Linked DNA regions of Drosophila melanogaster. The protein of the gene in region 2 interacts with the protein of the main gene of each other region in a pairwise test. Each region holds a gene or a part of one and is shown on either strand. Other genes may lie near its edges. The genes, in order: CG6769 and CG11085.

Region 1 (5,249 bases), 5.2 Mb from region 2:
CATATGAAACCCATTTAAAGACAAACATCTATTTGTTTTTCAGGCCTGCTTATGCATTCGGTGGCAGCCAACGCGATGAACAACTTCTCCGCTCTGAGCCTGCAGTCCAACGCCCATCCGCCGCCATCGCTGGCCAATAGCCATCACAGCACCAACAGCCTGGGCAGCCTGAATCACATCAGTCCCGGCAGCACCGGCTGCCACAACAACAACAGCAACAGCAGCAACAACAACACACGCCACAGTCGTCTGTACGGCAGCAACATGGTGAACATGGTGGGCCACCACAACAGCGGCAGCAGCAACAACCACAACAGCATCAGCTATCCGCACGCCATGGAATGTGATCCGCCGCAGATGCCGCCACCGCCGCCAAACGGACACGGCAGGATGCGGGTGCCAGCGATAATGCAACTGCAACCGAACAGCTATGCGCCCAATTCGGTGCCCTATTACGGCAACATGTCGTCCTCGTCGGTGGCTGCGGCGGCGGCAGCGGCAGCAGCTGCTGCCTCGCACCTAATGATGACCGATTCGAGTGTGATTAGCGCCTCGGCGGCGGGCGGTGGCCAGGGCGGCGGCAATCCCGGCCAGAATCCGGTTACGCCGTCAGCTGCCGCCTTTCTCTTCCCATCTCAGCCCGCCGGAACGCTCTATGGCACGGCGCTCGGTTCGCTGAGCGACCTGCCACTGCCGATGCCACTGCCCATGTCCGTGCCCCTGCAACTGCCGCCCTCGTCGTCGTCGTCCGTCTCCTCGGGATCAGCATCGGTTGGATCCGGAGGAGTGGGTGTCGGCGTGGTTGGCCAAAGGCGGCACATCACCGGACCCGCCGCGCAGGTGGGCATCTCTCAAAGTGTCGGCAGTGGCAGCAGCGGCTCGGCCACCGGAGCCAGCAGCAGCGATGCCTCCTCGTCGTCACCCATGGTGGGCGTTTGTGTTCAACAGAATCCTGTAGTTATACATTAGCATAAACTGGAAGCAAGCAAAGAACGTTGGATGCTCGCTTAAAACACTACTTTTCACGCCCTTTGCCGCTCTCTGCTGCTATTTATTGCACCGCCAACCAACGCCTCCACCCGCCCACAAACCAAGGAACCACAAATTCACCAACGCAGCAGCACCATAGTTGGTCGGTAATCGGGGGTCTTGTCCACACGTTTTTCCAATTTTACATACCATGTACGATGTACTTCGATGTACATATACTACTAATTTTGACGAATAATTGTTAATATTTTCATCTGCGCTTTTGTAAGATCTTAAGTGAAGAAAATTTCTGTTCTATGTAGACAATTTTAAATGAAAATTCTTTTAATTAGCGATTGTGACAACGTGACTTCAATTGGATAAATAGCGAAGATCATTTTGTTTTGTTTGAGTGGTAATAGTCACACTTTCAGCTTTTCCTGAAAAGAAGCTGAGATTCTTGGTTCATTGTAAGACAAGACGCCCGATGAAGATCACTGCAACACAGACACATGTCCAAAATAAAAATACATTAACATTAACTAGCTGAAATTGACCCTCAGGTCCCACGAAACACACGAAAACTCACTCACCTGCGGTTCTTACTGATTAGTCACTTCGAGCTCTCACCGCCGCGCCCACAGCACCGGCCACGCCCCCAGTCGCCCGGGATCGGGGAGGGGATGCCGTGTGGGCGCCTTGATGGATTCGGCAGAGTTTATTTTTTTACACGCTAGAACCTATTTTTTTTTTTGGTCTAATTATAATGTTTAACTTTATGCAGTAACCGTAACGACATACTTTTACTTTATATAAACGAATCAAAATTAAACTTTATTTAATTGTTAATTTAAATTATGTAATTTTATTCGACGAGAAATCGCTAGTAATATAGAAAGCAAACAAATATGCTTAATTTAAGCAAAACTCAAAAACTTTTTATTGTACAAGTAGGGGGGAGGCCAATAGCATTTGGAAAGAAAAGCAAGCGATGATTAGATCAGAACCTGTGCACGATAGTGCTTCTGCAGCTTATTGGCCTTGCAGCCGAGCTTCATCTGCCACTTGGACTGGACGCGCTTCATCAGATGAATGTCGCGTGCCTTGCGGGCGGCGGACAGCTGCTGCGTTTGCGTCCAGCCCAGAGCCCGGTACTCGCTGAGCACGCGGTGCAGTTTGCGGTCGGACTTCTTGATGACGACGGCGCGTTCCGGACGAAGACGCTGCTTGTAGTAGCGAAGCAGGGAGCGATGACCAATGACCGCGCCTGAGGGCAGCACCAGCTGATACTCATCGCCATCGAGCAGATCCGGCACCACCTCTTCGTCAATGTCCATGCCCTCATTCTGTGCGGGTTAAAAGGTTTTCCAAGATTCAGTCAGCATAAATGGAGGTTTGCTTGTGCTATGTGATACTCACATTGTCCGGATAACTGCTGCTGTAGTCGTAGTATTCGGCATACTCGGCCAGCGCCACACCCTCGTGCAGCATCTGGCAGTGGCCCTTGTCGATCATGTGTTTGCGCACGGCGTCCAGGGAATAGAAGGTCTTGCCGCGATCGTTGCAGAACAGGCAGATGAAGTAGTTGGCCACCTTCTCGCCCAGGTAGTACAGAAGGCCCTCGATGTCCGTGCAGTACTCGGTGTCCGGAATGAAGAACGAGTGCGCCACGGACATGTGCTTTAGGTTCTCCACCAGATCCTCGCTGGCATGTGTGCAGAACAGGCAGTCGCGCTCGGTCAGCGGATTCTCGGGTATCTTGTCCCACTCATCGGAATCCACCTGCAAAAAATCAAGTTGTTCTTTATAAGAAGCTGTATACGTTGTAAAGGTGCATATCTTAACCAGGCATAGAATCTCCAAGGAAATCATTCTCAAGGTAACCCTTCTATGAGCAAGGAAAAGTCTAATGCGAGCTCTATCTGCATAGCGCTTCCTACCTCCTCCTCTTCAATGTCCTCGAAATCATCGTCGTCCTCGTCGACCATCTCCTCGTCGTTATTGGCCTTGACCACCCGCTCCGCGAAGGCCAGTCGACCCTTGCCAGCGGCTGCGGCGGCCAGGGCCGGATGGGGCCGCTGCTCCACGACGCTGCGCGTGCACACGGATGTGGCGGTGCTGGCGCTGCCGCCGCTAGCTGTCATCTGCTCGCGCTCGAAGCGGGCCAGCAGCTCCTTGTGCTTGCGGCTGTTCAGGTGGTTGTCGTGCGCCTTCTGGCTGGCGAATTGGCGTCTGCAGGCGTGGCAGTAGACACTTAGGTTCTGCTCCTCGAGTGCCGCGTCCGTGGCGCTGCGGGCGCTAAGAACGCGCTGCTGGAACTCCTCGGCCGTAACGGGCGGCAGCTGGGCCACCCTGCGCTTCAGATTGTAGCGATGCCAGTCGGTCTTGTAGTGATTCCGCTGCACATCCGCGCTGGCGAAGCGGGCATCGCAGTTCAGGCAGGTGAAGTGCGACATTGTGGCGCTGAGTGGATTCGATGATCGCTTGACTGGCACTCTCGTTTTCGTTGGCACTCTGGAATGGCGTATTTCACAATGGAAAGTAAGGCTGCTCAATTTAATGGTGATGATTAAAAAACAAAACCACGTTCTTGACAGTGTGACCAGACGGCACTCACGTCGGCACCATCCACACACAATATACTAAACAAAGAATTTGTTATATGTTATATATATGAGTGCTTTGAATTTCAACAATGAATTAATAGTAATTAATGAAAAATGAGTTTTGTAAATCAGCCCTATTTTTTTATTACTTTAACTTTCTGTTTTTCCTGTGTTCCTGTTTTATAAATGTTCTCATTTGCGCACCACGGTCACATTGGCTTTGTTGCCATTTGTTGTTGCCTCCGATTTCCGCATTTTCAAAGGATCCGGATTTCGGAAAGCAAACGATGCAGTAAGTGAATAAGTAAGTGGTATGTGAAGCAACTAATTTTGCAACTTGGCTACTCTCCCTTCGTCCAGACGATCCCGAGCCAGCAGCACCAGCAGTGGCCGGCATCCGGCGCCGCCGCCAATTGGGCTGCCCCAGCCGCAGGCGCAGCCACTGGAGGCGCCAAAGATTATCGTCATCCATCCTGGATCGCAGCACTTGAGGATCGGCAGGGCGGCCGACCTTAATCCGCTGACCCTGCTGCACGCGGTGGCCTACAGGAGGCGTCCGGGGGCCAGCGATAGGCCGCATCATGATCCGCTGCTGCCGCCGCTGGACAACGTCAACTCAAACTCCGGCCTGATGGTGGAGTTCGAGGAGCAGCGCCTGGTGGTGTCGCGCATTCTGCAGCACTGCGTCGTCGATAACAAAAACCGGTTGCGGGTGGCCACTCCGCCGCAGCAACTGGCCCACTTCAACCGGAGCAGTCAGGCGGAGAAGGTGCCGGCGCCCAGTGGCCAGATGGCGGACGAGCCCTGGCTGGATCGCGAGGCACCCGTGCTGTTCGACGACCGTATCCTGCGACTCGGTGCTGTGGATGCCCGCAACTACGACATCCATTTTCCCATTCAAAGGGGCGAGCTGAATGTGCACAACGAGAAGGGCGGCTCGCTACAAGTGTGTGCTGCGTTGTTCCTCGTAGTTTCCAAACTAAACTGATGAAGCTGTTTTTTTTTTTTCAGGCCAGCATGCAGCACTTGGAACGAATCTGGTCGTACGCCCTGGAAGAGCGTCTGAAGATCCCGCTGCGTAAACTGGGCACCCACTGCGCCGTCTTGGTGGTCAACGATGTCTATGTGCGGCGGCATCTGCGCGAGTTCGTGACCCTGCTGCTGAGGCGTTTGGGCTTTCGGCGCTGCTTCCTCGTCCAGGACAGCGTCGCCTCCACCTTTGGCGCCGGCATTGGGTACGGCTGTGTGGTGGACATTGGCGCCCAAAAGACCTCCATAGCCTGCATCGAGGACGGAATTTCGCAGCTGGATGCCAGGGTGCGGCTGTCCTATGGCGGCGGCGACCTGGATCAGGTGCTACTCCTGCTGCTGCGAAAGTGCGGCTTTCCCTATCGCGAGTGCAATGTGCAGGAGAGCTATGTGGATGCCCATCTGCTGGACGAGCTGAAGGAAAAGTTTTGCCACCTGAACGCCAGCGTTTGTGGCGCCCAGGAGAAGCACTTCAACCTGCGCAAACATAACGGCCAGTGGCTGCGCTACACCATACAGGTGGGCGATGAGGCCCTAATGGCGCCACTGGCCCTCTTCCACACGGAGCTGTTGAACATCACGGGCCGAACGAAAGCGGTTTTCACACAGCAGGCGGTGCAGGACCAATACGACTGCGAGGACTGC
Region 2 (8,458 bases):
CTCATTAAATAAATACAAATCAAATTGAATGATGGCCAGCTCAAAGGAGAAGGGCTGGTGGAGCAGGAGGTGCCTTTGTGCTCAAAGGATGGCTGCGTAAAATGTACCAATTAAAAATGCCATTCAAATCTCAATGGCTGCGCAAATGAACCGCATGAATGTGAGAATTTGCGGTATCAAAAAAAAAAAAAAAAAACGCGAAGGAAACCGGTGAAAGAATCATCCATCATCTATCTGTATCTGCAAGTGGCTGGCATGATGGGGGTTAGCAGATGCATTTTATTCATTAGATTACATTCACATTTCATAGACGATTTCATGGCAACGTTAACTTGCTTGCCATCCCATTCGCCTTTGCCTTTCATTCGCATTTCAGCCATTTTTCCCGCATTTTTTCGCATTGCCCGCCTCGCTTCTTTGGCTTTTCCGTTTTGTTTCCGGTGGCTCCCATCAAGTATCTTTTTAATTAGCGTTCTGTGCCGCTCTGCACCACTTGAAAACTACTACCCGTTCCACGTCGTCTGCCCCTATATCATCATGCCATATCCTCGTTGGGTTGGCTTGGGTTGGGTTGGCGTTAGCTGGTGTCCTATGGTATGGCATACACTATGGCATGGTTATACTATATCCATCTAGACCTCTCTCTCGCTCGTTAACTCACTCACCGCAGATTCAATTTGTGGCTAAACATTTCTCCTCCTTTTTGTGTAGCGAGCTAAATGGGCATGAAAATATAACTGTAGCTACAGACGATCCTCGATGGAAAGAACTGAATAAGCAAAATAATTCTTATATATCTACGCTAGTTAATTTTTTTTTTTTAATATTTTTTCATAGTATTTGTCTGCCCATATGATGGTACAGTGTGGAAGCTACACTCATTTCGAGACAGAACTAGTTGCGAATTATAAGAGATCTTCACACTCAGTTATTGAAATAAGTCATCTGCAAAATATATGCATACGCTCTTGTTGTTGTTTGTTGCATTCTCCTTCATATATCACATTGCATGATTGTTGCATGCTCTATGTTGTATATCTGTTTCTTATCGAAATGTCCTTAGATGTAGGTTTCTTTTCAGTTTGTGCTAGGGAATCCCTACTGTATATGACGGTGCTATCGCATCCTCGTTTGCCAGGACGCACTGCTGCCATCTCTTTCTGTCGCACGCCCCCGCTCATGCGCTCTCTGCGCTCCGTTGGCCCGTTATAATTGCGACCAGAGTTGTTGCTTGTTTTCCGGTTGGCTGCTTCATCCTTCCTCTCTTTCTCACTCTATATCGCCCTCTCTCTCACAGCTCCATGCAAATAATATATATAGAGTGGATCTATATACATATGTAGCTGTAGACGCGATATCCTGCCCGTTGGGTGGGCATATGTCGCGGGCTATTTGCTATATAGCGACAAATTGATATCGTTTTGTGCGATTCGCTCAAGTTGATTTTCAAGCATGACTCACAGCTCACCGATTTGCAGATACGCAGATGGGCGAGCGGCATTTAACCGATACGTTGCATTCGATTCCTTTGTGAATTATTAAATATTAAATTGCAGCCAACACAGCACATGTATAAAAGACTTTTGGTAAAATTGAACAATCGGTAACGATCGATTTTAGTGATCGATCATTATCGTTTCTCAAATTTATCGGAAGTTGAACGTTTGATTTGTTATTCGCAAATGGAGCTTAATTCTGTAACAAAACCAGTAAAGTAAATAAGACCTATTATTTATACTAGTTAGCTTTGATTAAGTTTTTTTATAATTAATTTCAATTAGATCACCTCCCAAGTGAAAACGCTTAAAGACTTGCAATTGAATGTTTATTCTGGCCAAAAAAAAATTCCATAGAGTGCGATGTGAAAAAAAAAATTTTTTAGTTTTATAATACAATTAATTAATTCGACTACGCTTATTTTTATGATTATATTGTTAAGTACGTATTATAATAATAATATCGGGTATGCTTGGTAAATATCAGCACATCGCTTGACTTTCATTAATTTGTCCCGATCGGTTATTGCACAAAAACGGTTTTCTTCATACGCATTATATACACAGGCAGCTGGGGAAAATGGTATTATGGGAGAGTTTGGGGCGTGGCTCCTACATGGGACATCCGTGGACATAGCCGACATTACGGAAAATGGCCGCCGCTGCGGCGGAAGTGAGAAAATTGCAAGGATTGCTGGCAGCCGCTGCAGCAGCGGCGGCGGCACTAAAAGAACTGCTCAGTCCGCTGGGACAGCAGCCGAGTCCGCCCGCACCGCCGCCATCCTGGACCACAAAATCCTTCTCCATGGTCGCCTGATGACGCAGCTGCTCCAGACGCAGTTGATTCTGTCGCTTCCATTTGGTCCTGCAATGGAAAAGGCAAATGAAGCGCTTACAATCGTTGCCACACGGTTAGAATTGAATATGGGATCACTTTAGCGTGATTGTACCAATAAATTCTATATTTTTTTAGTAATCTTACTCAACATAAAATTGGCTTTGGTAAACTATAATAACAAGCCATTATTAATATTAATATGTATATACTTAAAAATACAATTTGTACTGCGCAAAATACAAGGTTTTGCGTTGCCAGACGTTTGCGATCGGTTGAAGCACTATGAGCGCAACTGTACTTACTGCAATTTAAAATAGTGAAACAAAATCAAATAGTTCATTATTCTATCCGCGAATGGAAGATATTTGATTCTTTTCTAATCAAAACTTATTGTTTCATTATCCATTATCGTTTTAATTTAAAAAGCAATTAATAAAGTGGCTCCTTTCCAACTTGGGGATTTGCTCTCGATCAACACTCACCGGCGATTCTGGTACCAGGTTTTCACCTGCGTCTCGGACAGATTGAGCGTTTCGGCCACATCGCTGCGATCGGCCACGCTCAGGTACTTCTGGCACCGGAACTTCCGCTCCAAGTAGGCGAGCTGGGCGTGGGTGAAGGCGGTTCGGCGGCGTCGCGGCTTCCGGCCACTTTTGCTCAGCTGCAGCTTGTGCTCCGCATAGCCGCCACTTGTACCGCCACCGGATCCCGGGCCACTGCCACCGTTGGCATCCCGATCCCCATTGGCACCACTGGCCGCCGCTGCCAGGAGTCCAGCAGCCACGCCCGCCGCCGCTGCAGCGGCGCTCAGTCCGCTGGCTACTCCTCCTCCACCACCACCACCTCCGCCACCACCCGATCCTGTGCCAGAGCCGGGGCCCCTTGTGGCCGATAGGCAGGACTCCACACTGGATTCGTCGTGGTGGGTGAATCTGCGGTGATGGTGCGACAGCAGTAGCTCCTGCTGGCAGCCCGCAGCCGTCGAGTCCGGCGTAGATCGATCCTCAATGTCTATATCCGAATCGTCGTTGGAGAGCTCCAGTTCTGGAAATAGGAAATCAAAGGGAGGATTATTAAAATGTAGTTGCACTTGTTAGATTATCCCAAAGACATCCTGTTTTTATATGCAAACAATAGGCTTTCTACTCATTTAAAAATTTTCAAAATTTGATTGACCACGACTCGTGGATTCAATTGGAGTGCAGAGTGCAGGCCGAGTGTCAAGTGGACGCCGGTATAAAGATACCGACTTTAAGACACTGTTGCCTGTTTTCAGGCGCAGCGTGGCACTAATGCGTTCAACCTCTTCTTTTCGCGCGTGCAACCACTTCCGGTCGAGAAGCGACCTGGGAAACCCATTGCTACACCACACCACACCACACAATGCAATAGACAATCGCATTGGATGAAGTGCTATCAAATCGGATGGGAGAATCAAGTGGGCGTTGGTCCGTTTGGATGATGGGGCGGCGAATCGGATGAGTTGCAATTTGCAGCAATCAACATGTTATTTATATCCGTCGCACATACATACATCGCATCCTGAACACAATCCCAAATCGGACTCGAATCCGGACTCGAAAATCGCACGCTGCGGGCTGCCTGATTAAATTCACGTGTCGACGAGCTCTCAATTGTTTTTCCTATTGGAATTTACATGGTCTGCTCCACGCTGCACTGAGAGAAATATTTCGCTTACAAGTACTTACTTACTTTCTTAAACAAAATCAAAAGAAAACTTTTTCGTACTATTTATATCGGAATAAAATACGTTTTCAATGCCATTTATATATTTATTTTCTATTTATAAAAACCAGAGTTATATTGGAAAAAAATAGAAACCTTTTAACACTCGACCAACTTTTGCACATTATGAATACAATTTCTCAATTTTTTTGCCCAGTGGCGCTTACTTAACACTCAACTTTTTAGAAGAACATAATTTTCGATTCGCCACAGGCGCTCACGTGTGTTCGCCCAGCAAGGATTCTTCTATGTTTTCTGCCCACTTTCTGGAGTGCCAACTGAACGGGCGGAAATTATTTTTATATTTGTGTATTTTAACCCCAAATGGGTTTCGACATCTGATTCCATTTATAACGATTTGCGCAGACAGGACGGAAGGGTAGATGGTGGATATACATATGTATTGTACATATGTCTATGCATGTGAGGGGATATTCAATTATGTGTGGATATCCTGGGGAGCGTCTCGAGTGAGTTCTTTCATTTTTCTCGAAAAGTCACGTCGTATCAATTTGCGGCACAATTGCCATTTAATAGGCACTTGAACTGTGAGACACACATCTGAAGATTGAAGACAGGCGAAAGCCGGTGACTTGTCGTATTGGATGGAGAAAGTGGGTGAAATGGGCTCGCATGTGCCGGCAATTTGGACATTGGAATAACGTATGTGTGTCCTAATAATATACAAATTTCTTTTTTTTTTTATTTATCCATGCCGTTACTAGCATTGATTTTAGGCAAAATCGAAACGTAAGGTATACTTGCAGTGAAAGTTTCATTTTCATCCTCTCTAACTGACAGCAATTAGCCTCTAAATAGTTGTAATTGTTGAGCTAAACTTTATTTAATGTCATGCCTAATTAGAGGATAACACATGCAGTTGGCACAAACCAACCAAAAAACAAAGCATACGTAAGCGGGCACCGCAGGCGGTACACTGCGAAAAAATGTAAAGAGCCATTTAAATCGAATGTGGAATGAGTATATTAATCTATGCATATTTTTTATATATATATCCTTAATAATTTATTTTTTCTTTAGTACTTGAAGATGACTTTTGTGTTATTATATTTTCTTGACTCAAAGTTAACACTAGTAAAGATCACGATTCGATTTGTTCTGTGTACTTGTGCGAGGATGCAAAAGCATTTGTCATGACTGAGTTTTCAGTCCCATTTGCATTCGCATCCACCACGACATTTTCCCTTTCGGTTTCCGATCCCCTGGCTAAAAACAATTAAAGTGCTCGTACGTGACAAATTGCTTGAGCGCAGGTTACGAATAAAGCAGTGTCAACAGCAACAAAAATACTATTAACTGCCAAACTCACACAGTCAGAAAATATGGCTATAAAGTATATCAAAAAATATATGGAAAATGACAATAATTAGCAAATCTATTGAAATCTTAAATTTTCCAGAAGCTAACATATTTTTTGATATATATAAATATAAAACAAAATCAAGATATCGTATTGAAAAATAATATTTTTCGGTGCAAGCAAGCAGTGCACAAATAAATTACTGCCTGAAGCTGTGGTTTTTGTTGTTTCCACTCAACCCCTCTCGCTCACCCGCTGTCTAGCCATCCCACTCGCTCTCATCGCCATCTCACTCACACCGCTAAAAGTTTTTGTTTTTGCGATAATTGAGCAAAGTGTGAGATTTAAATGCCACAGGCGGGTGAAAAAAAAAAAACAGATGACAGAATTGGGGGCGTCAAAAGAGAGTGAGCAAGGCAATTTGTCAGTGGTTTTAGCCAAAAACTCCCCTTATTTACCCCTCAGCCAACAGCAAAACATCAAAGAACGGGAGATTGGAACAATGAGCAGGCTAATTGGCCAAAAAAGGCGTTTATATTATGTATGTTTATTTCACATGTGTGGGTGTATGCAAAATGATAGGTTATATTTAATTACATGGAAGTCTTGTTATTTACAATTAGTATGGAGCTACGAAATTGTTTGTTTTGAAAAATATATCTATTATTAGCAGAGAACTGATATAAACTAGATATTCCTTTTTACAAATAATATCTAGTTAAGGAAACAAATTATTATCAATAAAGGAATATATTTATTTTGATACTTGTTATAGTAGCAGAATTGTTATGGTTTCATAGATATATCATATAGTCGATAAATATGGTAAATGATATACCTCAAAGGACTTAAATGGTACAAAATATTTTCAAAACTTACCCGAATCTGTTTGTCGTCGATTAATCAAATCGCCCAGAAGATCGCGTATTAAAAAAGATTTTGAGCTCTGCATTTTGATGGATCTGCAGTCCTTATGGCAAAAGCGGTGCTTAAGTGTGTTTGTTTTAGATCAGATTTTCAAAGTAACTGGCACATTTGAAACATTTTGCACTAGAAATCCCGTTGCAACAATAACAAAAATTAATCCGTTGTCCTTGTTTATTTGTTAAGTGGCTTTGAAGGCTTTTATTTGATGATCCCTTTTTATTTTATCCTTTGGCGTTTGGCCGACGGCAGTGCTGTGCAAATTTAGCGATTATAATTGCGCCTTCGATCTGTTCTACGCGTAATCGAATTTTCCAGTACGAAACACGCACACACACATTCACACAGACAGACGGACAGAAAGTAACTGTAACTGAACCGCTAAGCGCCGAGTCAAATGAACAACTGAAATGCGAAACGTCGAACGTTTATTAATCCTTTTAGCGAACATCGCCAGGATTCACCCCTCACACACACACACACACAAGTGAATTACGCGGATTTGTTGCTGTAAACGGGACAGTTTAGCGCCCACGTCGACGTCGACGTTTGCAGAGGAAAAGTCCAGCAACAACAACAGCAAAATGAGTGAAAAAAAATGTAGCTACAAAAAGGAAACTTTCGCAATGGCCGCTGCCATTTAACCGTTATTTAATCAGTTGCCTTAGACACACAGCATCAACAAAACAGCAGCATGCCATCCCGCTCGCTCACCGACTTCCGCTGTCCCGTTAGCCATTTTGTTTGCCGTTAGCCCGGTGGGAGAGCAGGTGGACAACAGCTTGCTGTCTCTCTCTTCGCCCAGGGTTGCCGCCGCGCCATTGGCTGTCATTCTGGGCCACCCCTAAATGGCCCGGGGAAAAAAGCAACCCTTAAAGCTCTCGCATTTCCTTGGCCCAGTCTAATGTCGCCTTTGAAATCTGCGTCAGTCGCACGAGTTACGAGCTCTAAAACGCACCAAAGTGGTATGTAAAAAGGTAAAAGGACCAGAAATCAACGAAACACCGTCGGCGAGTTGGCAACTCTGTTCGATGTCCGTAAGGATTTAAAATCACCCATTTTGAATATTTAGTGAGTAAGTATTGTGGCATACACACTATATATGCAAACTTTTATTCCATTAATCATAAGTTTGCTGCTAACTAAAAATGGGCATAAAACACTTCATAGGGTTATTATTTCTACACAATATTTCAAATATTGTTTTATTATTAACTACAACTACATTTATTAGCTGATGCTTTCAGCGATTCATGTTAAAGTTCCACTAAGTGATATGCAAGTGGCTTGCTTCGACTTCTAAATCTAATAGCTAATCTAATAGCAATCCCAGTGTTTCAGCCGGTTCTCCTGGTTAGGAATGTGTCTTATTTATCAGTTCTAGATTTGGGATCATCGATAAGATCTAGGGCACTTATAGCTGCTCCCAGCAGATGAATGGAACCGGTGACGAGGACCTCTAGTTGTCCCTCATTGTCTGTGGCTTGTGGAAATCTTTGCCTGATGGCAGTAAAAGCGTCGGTTAGCGTATTATACACCTGACCCACATCTTTTTTTTGCTCCGTTGCGCAGAGGTCACTCCAAGCTGAGGCAATGATCCTCGCCCGATTCAATTGCATTTCGGGACTAAAACGAACCATCACCTGGCTGGGAGCATTTGGCGTTGAGGTGGCCAAATTGGGCACAAAGCAGACCATGTCAAAGTCACAGGTGCGGTTGAGTAGCTTTAGCAGAGGTGCGAAACCGGATTCTCCGGTGCGATTAAAGATCAGAATCTTTGGATTGACACTGCAAATGAGGAAGTCAATCGAATCAGTTATGTATTATAGGACCATCTCCTCCTACTCCGCTCACCTGTCTCGCACGTTTTTTTCAAACCAGTCCGTGCACACTTCCATGCTTTCCAGAGTGTGAGCTCCGTCCAGATGTAATCGCATCCCGTGCCATTCGATTAGCTGGCACCGACCGGGCCAGTGGGTGCTAATCAGTCCGTCCAGCAGCTGTGGATCCATTTTCACCTCGTTGGGAGTGTGCTGCTGTTTTCCCGACTGCGACAACCAATCTTGGGCCAATTGAATGGCCAATGAGCCATTTAGGCGAATTAAGTTACTGAAGGTCTGCCAAATCGGAGCA

The links.
Region 1: the proteins of CG11085 (region 2) and CG6769 interact in a two-hybrid assay, tested with the Drosophila melanogaster proteins (one large-scale study listed by BioGRID).

Annotation. Positions count from the first base shown.
Region 1 is NC_004354.4:17,859,340-17,864,588, reverse strand, and holds CG6769 (uncharacterized protein), read right to left. Parts: upstream 3,588-5,249; 5' UTR 3,426-3,587; coding exon 2,910-3,425; intron 2,752-2,909; coding exon 2,389-2,751; intron 2,316-2,388; coding exon 1,965-2,315; 3' UTR 1,814-1,964; downstream 1-1,813. Other genes in the region: mnb (minibrain), read left to right, coding at 44-969; Arp8 (Actin-related protein 8), read left to right, coding at 3,863-3,867, 3,936-4,521, 4,587-5,249.
Region 2 is NC_004354.4:12,614,572-12,623,029, reverse strand, and holds CG11085 (uncharacterized protein), read right to left. Parts: upstream 6,715-8,458; 5' UTR 6,354-6,714; coding exon 6,281-6,353; intron 3,379-6,280; coding exon 2,817-3,378; intron 2,362-2,816; coding exon 2,109-2,361; 3' UTR 1,814-2,108; downstream 1-1,813. Other genes in the region: Fpgs1 (folylpolyglutamate synthase 1), read right to left, coding at 7,693-8,113, 8,180-8,458.